Schizosaccharomyces pombe: one gene and its partner. The protein of the gene in region 2 interacts with the protein of the main gene of each other region in a pairwise test. Each region holds a gene or a part of one and is shown on either strand. Other genes may lie near its edges. The genes, in order: SPOM_SPBC1773.16C and SPOM_SPCC550.08.

The links.
Region 1: the proteins of SPOM_SPCC550.08 (region 2) and SPOM_SPBC1773.16C interact in a two-hybrid assay, tested with the Schizosaccharomyces pombe proteins (one large-scale study listed by BioGRID).

What each region holds. Positions count from the first base shown.
Region 1 is NC_003423.3:318,425-322,353, reverse strand, and holds the start of SPOM_SPBC1773.16C (transcription factor), read left to right. Parts: upstream 1-1,788; 5' UTR 1,789-1,873; coding exon 1,874-3,661; 3' UTR 3,662-3,929. Other genes in the region: gor2 (glyoxylate reductase), read left to right, coding at 1-692.
Region 2 is NC_003421.2:1,198,104-1,202,032, forward strand, and holds SPOM_SPCC550.08 (N-acetyltransferase), read left to right. Parts: upstream 1-2,125; 5' UTR 2,126-2,885; coding exon 2,886-3,629; 3' UTR 3,630-3,922; downstream 3,923-3,929. Other genes in the region: fah2 (fatty-acid amide hydrolase), read left to right, coding at 87-1,688.

The DNA of each region.
Region 1 (3,929 bases), on a different chromosome or scaffold from region 2:
ATACTCCAAACGGACCTACAGAGGGAACAGCAAATATGAATTTAATGCTCTTTATGTGTACACTCCGTGGAGCTCGAGAGGCAGAACAAAGTCTTCGCCTTGGCAAATGGCGTCAAAACTTATCGCTGACGGACGATCCATATGGAAAACGAGTGGGCATTATTGGGATGGGCGCAATTGGCAAATCTTTTGCTCAAAAAATTCTTCCTCTAGGTTGTGAAATTGTATATCATAATAGAAATCGCCTGGAGGCAGAGGAAGAGAAAAGACTAGGTGCGTCTTTTGTTTCTTTCGATGAACTGCTAAGCTCTAGTGATGTAATTAGCATTAATTGCCCTCTTACCCCAGCAACTCACGATTTAATATCCACGAAGGAATTTGAAAAAATGAAGGATGGAGTTTATATTATTAACACAGCTCGTGGTGCAATAATTAATGAAGATGCCTTTATCAAGGCTATAAAATCTGGCAAAGTTGCTCGTGCAGGTCTCGACGTGTTTTTGAATGAACCTACTCCCAATAAATTTTGGTTGGAATGCGATAAAGTAACCATCCAACCACATTGTGGTGTATATACCAATTTTACGGTTGCTAAAACAGAGGAATGTGTTTTAGCAAGTATTGAAACATTTCTTGATACAGGAATCCCCACCAATCCAGTCAACGGTCCGTTCGGCATGAATGGTTGTTGATGCAAGTCAAAAGTCCTTTACATCTACACAAGTAAAGTATATGTTAATAAAAAATATTCATTTTTATGTTGTTGCTTTTTGTGAGCACGTATCTGTAAAGAATACATATGAGAGATTCTGTCATTTTGAATGCTGCTTTTTGGGTCAGCCTGTTCAAACTTACATAGTTGAAAAGATTATCACATCCTTATTTTTTAAAGCTAACTATTTATTATTCACTTGTTAAGATGCTCCTCCTCTCAGGGAAAAGTAAAAGTAGAAGTTCATTTTCCAAAATGGGACTTTACAGAAAAATTGAATATCTGATTCCATTTCAAGGATTTGGAAGATATTTATCTTTGCGTGCGTATACTAGACATGCTCGCATAATTTTATAGTAGGATGCTAGCAACGGTGATTAAATTGGCAAGTCGAATTATCTTAGATCTAAGGCTAAAATCATAAACTGCTATAATCTTTTAGATATCAGGCTACTACAAACTGCTGTTGCCAATTTAAAATGGTATGGTACATGAATCGATCCTTCGATAAATGTCTATCTAAGTGTTCGTATTAGTCAGAATATTTTGGTTCCGAACTGATATCCTCCCGCGTGTGCATAAAATATTCCATTTCATTCAATATCAATTCATAAACTAGTCATTAGATGAAGAAAATATTTCTAGTTCGTATTATTTATATAAGCATACGTAGAACCATAAAGTCAGGCAGACTAGTTCCTAGTTTTGGCTTGAGTAAGTTCAATTTCACTTCGACGAAACTGGCGTTTATCAACGTACAAATTTAATTCTTTCCTCAATTTAAGAAAAATGCCTCTTTTTTTTAACTTCGTAATATCTATACGGTAAAGACATGTTTAAAATGGTATAATCTAATGAGCTATGTAGTTTTCATCTTATCAACTGCAGCTAAAGATGGGTTGCTTCAATATCGTGTTTGATTATCTGCAAAATGTCCGACATCTTTCATATTGATTACTATTAAACTTTTTTTTTTTTTTCAACCAGAATAGTATCGACTGGTTACCCTTTATCAAACTTGTGTGACTAGGTTGAGTTATCAATATGGACCATTCGTAAAGCCCACAGCAAAACTCATTCGCAACTAGTCTGTGTTTAATATATACAGCAATTGACAAGATTAAGCATAAATATATAACTAAAAAAGACTCACATTTTTAAATGAAAAGGATCAGAAATGCTTGTGAATTGTGCAGGCGTAAGAAGCTAAGATGCAATGGTGAATTAACTTGCCAAAATTGTATGGTATATGGCGAAGAGTGTCGTTATGTTAAGCGGGTTAAACATGACAATCGAGCAGCAGTACAAGAAAACGAAAGGTATCCTATACTCTACACTCCGCTCAGCACTTCAGATCATGATAACGACGAAGAGAATGAAATCAATGAGTTGAAAAATGCTGTTAAAGCTTTGGATAAACGTTTTGATAATTTCGAATTAAAGCTAGAGGCTCTTTTCTCTTTATTAAGATCTCAGCAGGACTCAGAGAGGAAAGTGAAACCCGGGGGTTTTCCATCTTTGGTTTCACAGATTTTGAGTGCAGGGGCTCTCGTGGATTCAAAATTGCAGGCATACACTATGAGAACCAATTTTTTTTCTAATGGATTTAGCAGCAACGATTTATTCCCCCATAGCTTTCCTACTTGGAAAAGTGCCTTTCGAGATGTTCCAGACAAAGATTGGGCTAAAACATGCTTGGATTGGTATTTCAGATTTATCAATTGTAATTGGCCTATATTTTATAAGAAACAGTACATGGAAAGCTTTGAAAAGTTATATATAGACAAGAATTTGGTCAAGGGTGCCTGGATTGTCTCGTTCTATGCTATTTTGGCTTTGGCTGTATCTCGAGACAAAAGAGTCGATAATAGTAAATTGGCGGAGTCTTTTTTTGCTACTTCCTGGTTTCTAATTCAAAGACCTGGCTTTTTTCTCACACCGCAACTCGAAAAAATTCAAGCATTAGTGATCATGATTCAGTTCGCAAGTCATCTGTCGTTGTACAATCTCTGCAAAAAACTTTGCGGTCAAGTTTGTTTGATGGTTAAGGATTTAAATTTACACAAAGAAAGTACAGACAAAGATCTTGACCAAGATATGGCAGAATTGCATAGACGAATATTTTGGGTATGCTACATTTTTGAAACTACCACATCCTTGATTTTCGGAACCCCTCCCGTTTTGGGAGATCTGGAAATTGAGTGCAAATACCCTGACATTAATTATGCTCATTGTTTTGCTGAAAACGTCCAAGGAGATTTAATATTTACATGTGAAATATCGTTAACCGTTTTGAAACACGAAATAAGGACTAAGCTCTACAATAGTAATAATGTTTTTTTAGACAAAGGTCAAAAGGGTGTGATATCTAACATTCAAACAAAGATATTGAATTTTGAAAGAGCCATTCCTTCTGAAATGAAGCATTATTTTGAGATACTTAAGGCAGGTAACGGGCTGCCCGAAGAACTGGATATTATTAAGCAACATTTTTTTACAGCTTGCGTGGAAATATATCTGTCATATTGCAATACACTTATTTATTTATATCTCGCGGACGATAGCATTGAAGGATCAAAAATTTGTTTAAGCACGGCTAGAGCAGCTATTGACGTTATTAAGGGATTTTTGGTGGTTCTTGATCCTATTTCAAAAAATATTTGTTATCTTTGGCTGTTTCTTTATTGTCCGTTTACACCTTTTTTGACGGTTTTTTCACATCTTTTGGAAGACGACGACTTGGACGCTGATATATGCGTCAAGGACGTTGATCGGTTATACTCTATTCATGCTTTTTTTTTAAAAATGAAAGATATCAGTGGAGAATTTGCTGAGAGGTTATCAGTTATTACTGAGAATTTTATTCAATCGGCTGAGCAATATCTTGCGCTGCAAAATACAAGTGTGTTTGGGACATTTGATGCCTTGAGCGAAAGTTTTTCAATTTAATATTTATATACTAATAATTTAAAGGCTTAAATATGTCCTTTTATTTGAATGCTTACTGTATCGTGTTCTTATCGCTTACTGTTTTCAAAGCGCATGCTTGATATATATATGGCAAGTTAATTTACTTTGACGACAAGTATCGGAAAATATTTATGTCGTGAGGATTCTATGTACAATATAATGGTTTTAATCAATATATATTATCACTTTAACATTTTTTGATCGATTCATTCACCGGGCAATATTATCTCAACAATTTCTAATCTGA
Region 2 (3,929 bases):
TATTGGTTTATATATACTTCATCATCCATACATTCAACTGAGCATTTTAATTTACTTTCATTCAATCCAACAGTTTCCTATTCACAATGACGATCGATTGGAGACAAATTGCTGCCAAATACTGTGCCCATCGAGATGGTAGTATTCCTGAACCTTTCAAAATTAAAACACTACCTAAGGATACCGTTTTGAATGTTACCAAAATTCCAAGTGAGTGTGGTCTCCTTACACCGAAGGAGATCGAACTCACTGAAAAATATGATGCGACAGCATTGGCCGAAATGATTAAGGATAGAAAAGTCACGAGTGTGGAGTTAGTCACTGCATTTTGTAAGCGTGCAGCCATTGCTCAACAACTTGTCAATTGTGTGAATGAACTCTTCTACGAGGAAGCTTTAGCTAGGGCCGCTGAGCTTGACGAGTACTATGCAAAGACGGGATCTTTGGTCGGCCCCCTTCATGGAGTGCCAGTTTCGGTGAAAGAGCATATTTCTATCAAAAATCACACTGCTACAGCTAGTTTTCTAGCGAAAGCCAACATTATTGCTGAGAAAGATAGTGATCTAGTTGCCACCGTTCGCAAAGCTGGTGCTGTTTTCTATTGCAGAACCCCCCAGCCTCAAGCTATCATGCATTTGGAAACATCTAGTAACCTTACGGGTGTAACCGTCAACCCTTTCAATCGAAAGCTCACACCAGGTGGTTCCTCTGGCGGAGAAGGTGCTTTGTTAGGCATTAAGGCGTCGGTGCTTGGCATAGGTAGTGATATTGGAGGGTCGATTAGGTCTCCTGCCGCTAACAATGGGCTTTTTGGCCTTCGCCCTAGTACCTTGAGATTATCACGCAAGGGTTGCCAAGGCGCTGTTAGTGGTCAAGAGACCATTCTCGGCGTAGTGGGTCCACTTGGTCGCAGCGTTCGTGACATGAATCTCTTTATGAAAGCTTGTATCGATAGCCAACCTTGGCTTGATGATGCATCGTTGTTACCAATGCCCTGGCGTTCAGTTGCCCCTCCTAAAACGCTCAAAGTTGGTATAATGCGTAGTGACAATGTTGTGAATCCTCAACCGCCTGTTGCTCGAGCCATGCAAATGGCTATTGATCAACTTTCTAAAAATCCCGATTTTGATTTAGTAGATGTAGAACCTTTGGATCACAAATATTCATGGGATCTTATTAGCGAAATGTACTGGCTTGATGGCGGAAAGGTTTATTACGATTTGTTTAACAAGGTGGGAGAACCAATTTTGCCTTTAACTGAATGGATTATGCATCAACCCAATGTTAAACCTCATGACATTACGGCCGTATGGAAATTGACTGCTGCTAGAGATGAATATCGCAATCGTTATTTGAAGCACCTTCAAGCATATGGAGTTGACGTTTTACTGACTCCAGTGGGACCTAGCCCTGCTCCTAAATTAGGGGAGGCAAAATATTGGACATACACATCTGTTTGGAACTTGCTTGATTTGCCTGCCGTAGTATTTCCTGTGACCACTGTTGATCCTAAGCTCGATGTTAAAGATGAGTCATACATACCGATGAATGAACAAGACGCAGCAAATTATGAAACATATTCCCCTGAAGACTATTTGGATGCTCCCGTAAGTTTGCAACTTGTTGGCAAACGTTGGCAAGATGAAGAATTACTGGCTGCCCTTGATAAAATTGTCAGCATGCTCTAGTAGGGTTATTGGCTTTTATATTTTTTGGAGTTTAATGATAATGGATATGTTCGTTTTATTTTTTTTTTATATACAAACTTTTCTATCTTTACTGTTCAATAGAAATGCGGTTTTTTATCAAATTGTTAGATGGACTTTGATTAAAAAAAGATGATAGGAGTAAGAACTACCGTACATATTTTGTTGTATGAAGAAAACTGTACAAGTAAAAAACATGCTATGTTATGACTTGAACAGTTTCCTGTCAGCTTTCTGGACTAGCTTATTAAAATTCGCACAATGATTTCTTTACAGATTTCTGCATAAAAGTATGAAAATAACTATACAAGTTCCTCAAGAAAAAGATAAAATAATCTTTGAAATTAAATTTCACAAAAAAAAATACTAAATGAAATTTGCTATATACTGCACCTTTGTTTGGGTTGATTGATTTTTCCAACAACGCATACCAAGTGTTTTTTGAATTTCTCATACCGTTTGGAAATTTTATATAGATAAGTTAGCTTAGTAAGGTAACCTTTAGGAAACTCAAATTAGAGCAGCCATACTTTTGTTTACCAGCATCGATCAATTTTCAAACATCTCTACAAACAACAATGTAGCACGTGTCTTGATTCATATACTTAAAGAGCTTTACTGTGTTTTCTCAAATGAGTACCAATAAATCCTATCGCAGCCATATACGGCTTTACGGTATTCTCCTTTAATTTCTCAATCGTTGATTAGAGTTGCGCGCCCTAATGCGTATTCCCAGCGTACAAACAAAGCGCTTCTCCATGGACAACTATCGCAAGCTATGGCCGAATATATGCCCGTCGGCCAAGATAGCACGGGTTAAGTGGTAGGCGAAAAACTTTGGCTACCATTGCTTAAGGGAATCTTCATTGAACTACGGCAATGAACTTAGCTCGCCGAAAGATCATGCCAAATTTCTTGTAATTTACTGGTATATATATGATGAAAATCTCGCTTCTAATTGCTTCAAAGCAAACGTGAACAATCACAGCTTCTTAAACGACAGTAGAAGATTATCGCGAATTACCAATTGCTCTTTCTAGTTTGCCAAATTGTGCTGGAATCACTCATCGATACATTTTTGTTTTATTTAGAACAGACTTGTATTTATATTTTGCGTTAGTGCTGTCTAAGTACATTACTCTTTAAGTACTGCTTCTTACTTTATCTTAAGTCTAAATCATGGCCGCTAAACGAGTTGAAGCTAAGGATTACAAAAAAGCTGCTGCTACTTTAGTAGATGCCTTCTTCGATGACCCTGTCTGCGTCTACCTTTGTCATACTACGAATGAACAGCAATTTAAAAAATTGATGACGGAGATGTTTGAGTATATTGTATATGCGCACATTATTCGCGGCCTTGTTCTGGAAGTCGGCGATTTTGCTGGAATTTCTTTATGGATGGGACCTGGGAATAACATGGATGATTGGTATTCCATTCTTCGTAGTGGTTTATGGCGCCTTAAGTATAAACTAGACGGAGAGGGTCGTAAGCGTTTCTTCAATGAATTTCTTCCTATTCTCAATGACACGAAAGCCGACGTTTTGAAAGAGCGTGATGACCATTCTTGGTATTTGGTCTATGTTGGTGTCAGCAGCAAAGAGCAGGGAAAGGGCTATTTGCGAAAGCTTATTGAGCCTATCTTTAACATCTGCGATCAGGAAGGTCTCCCTATCTATTTAGAGTCGAGCCATCTTCATAATCGTCCAATTTACGAACATTTTGGATTTGTTTACCAACAAAGTATCTACTTAACTCGTGACAACCAAAAGGTTCCTCTTGAGATTATGATTCGTGAACCTGAGACCGAATCCAAGGCTGAACAAAGTGCGAAGCCTAAAGCTGCTCTTAGTAAAACCGTATCTGCTTCGATTGCTGAGAAAGTAGAGGGTTCTCTCGCTGTATCATCTACTCCTGTTTGCTGAGCGAATCTCCTATTATTCGATTTTGCATAACCCTATTAACTCTTAATCTTAATTTCATTTTCTTATTTCCAGCCTAGATTCGAAATTCCTTATCCATTCAATCTCTAAACACTTTATTTAAAGCAGACAAATTTGGTTTTGCTATTTTTTATCTACAATCTGCATAAACACAATTTCTTTTCGTATTTTGAAAAATGAGCATACAGACTCGCTTAAAATCATAAACTAAGACAAATTACTTAAGTGTTTCTATGAAATAAAATAATAATCTACACAGAACAATCGTTACACAAGTTCTTA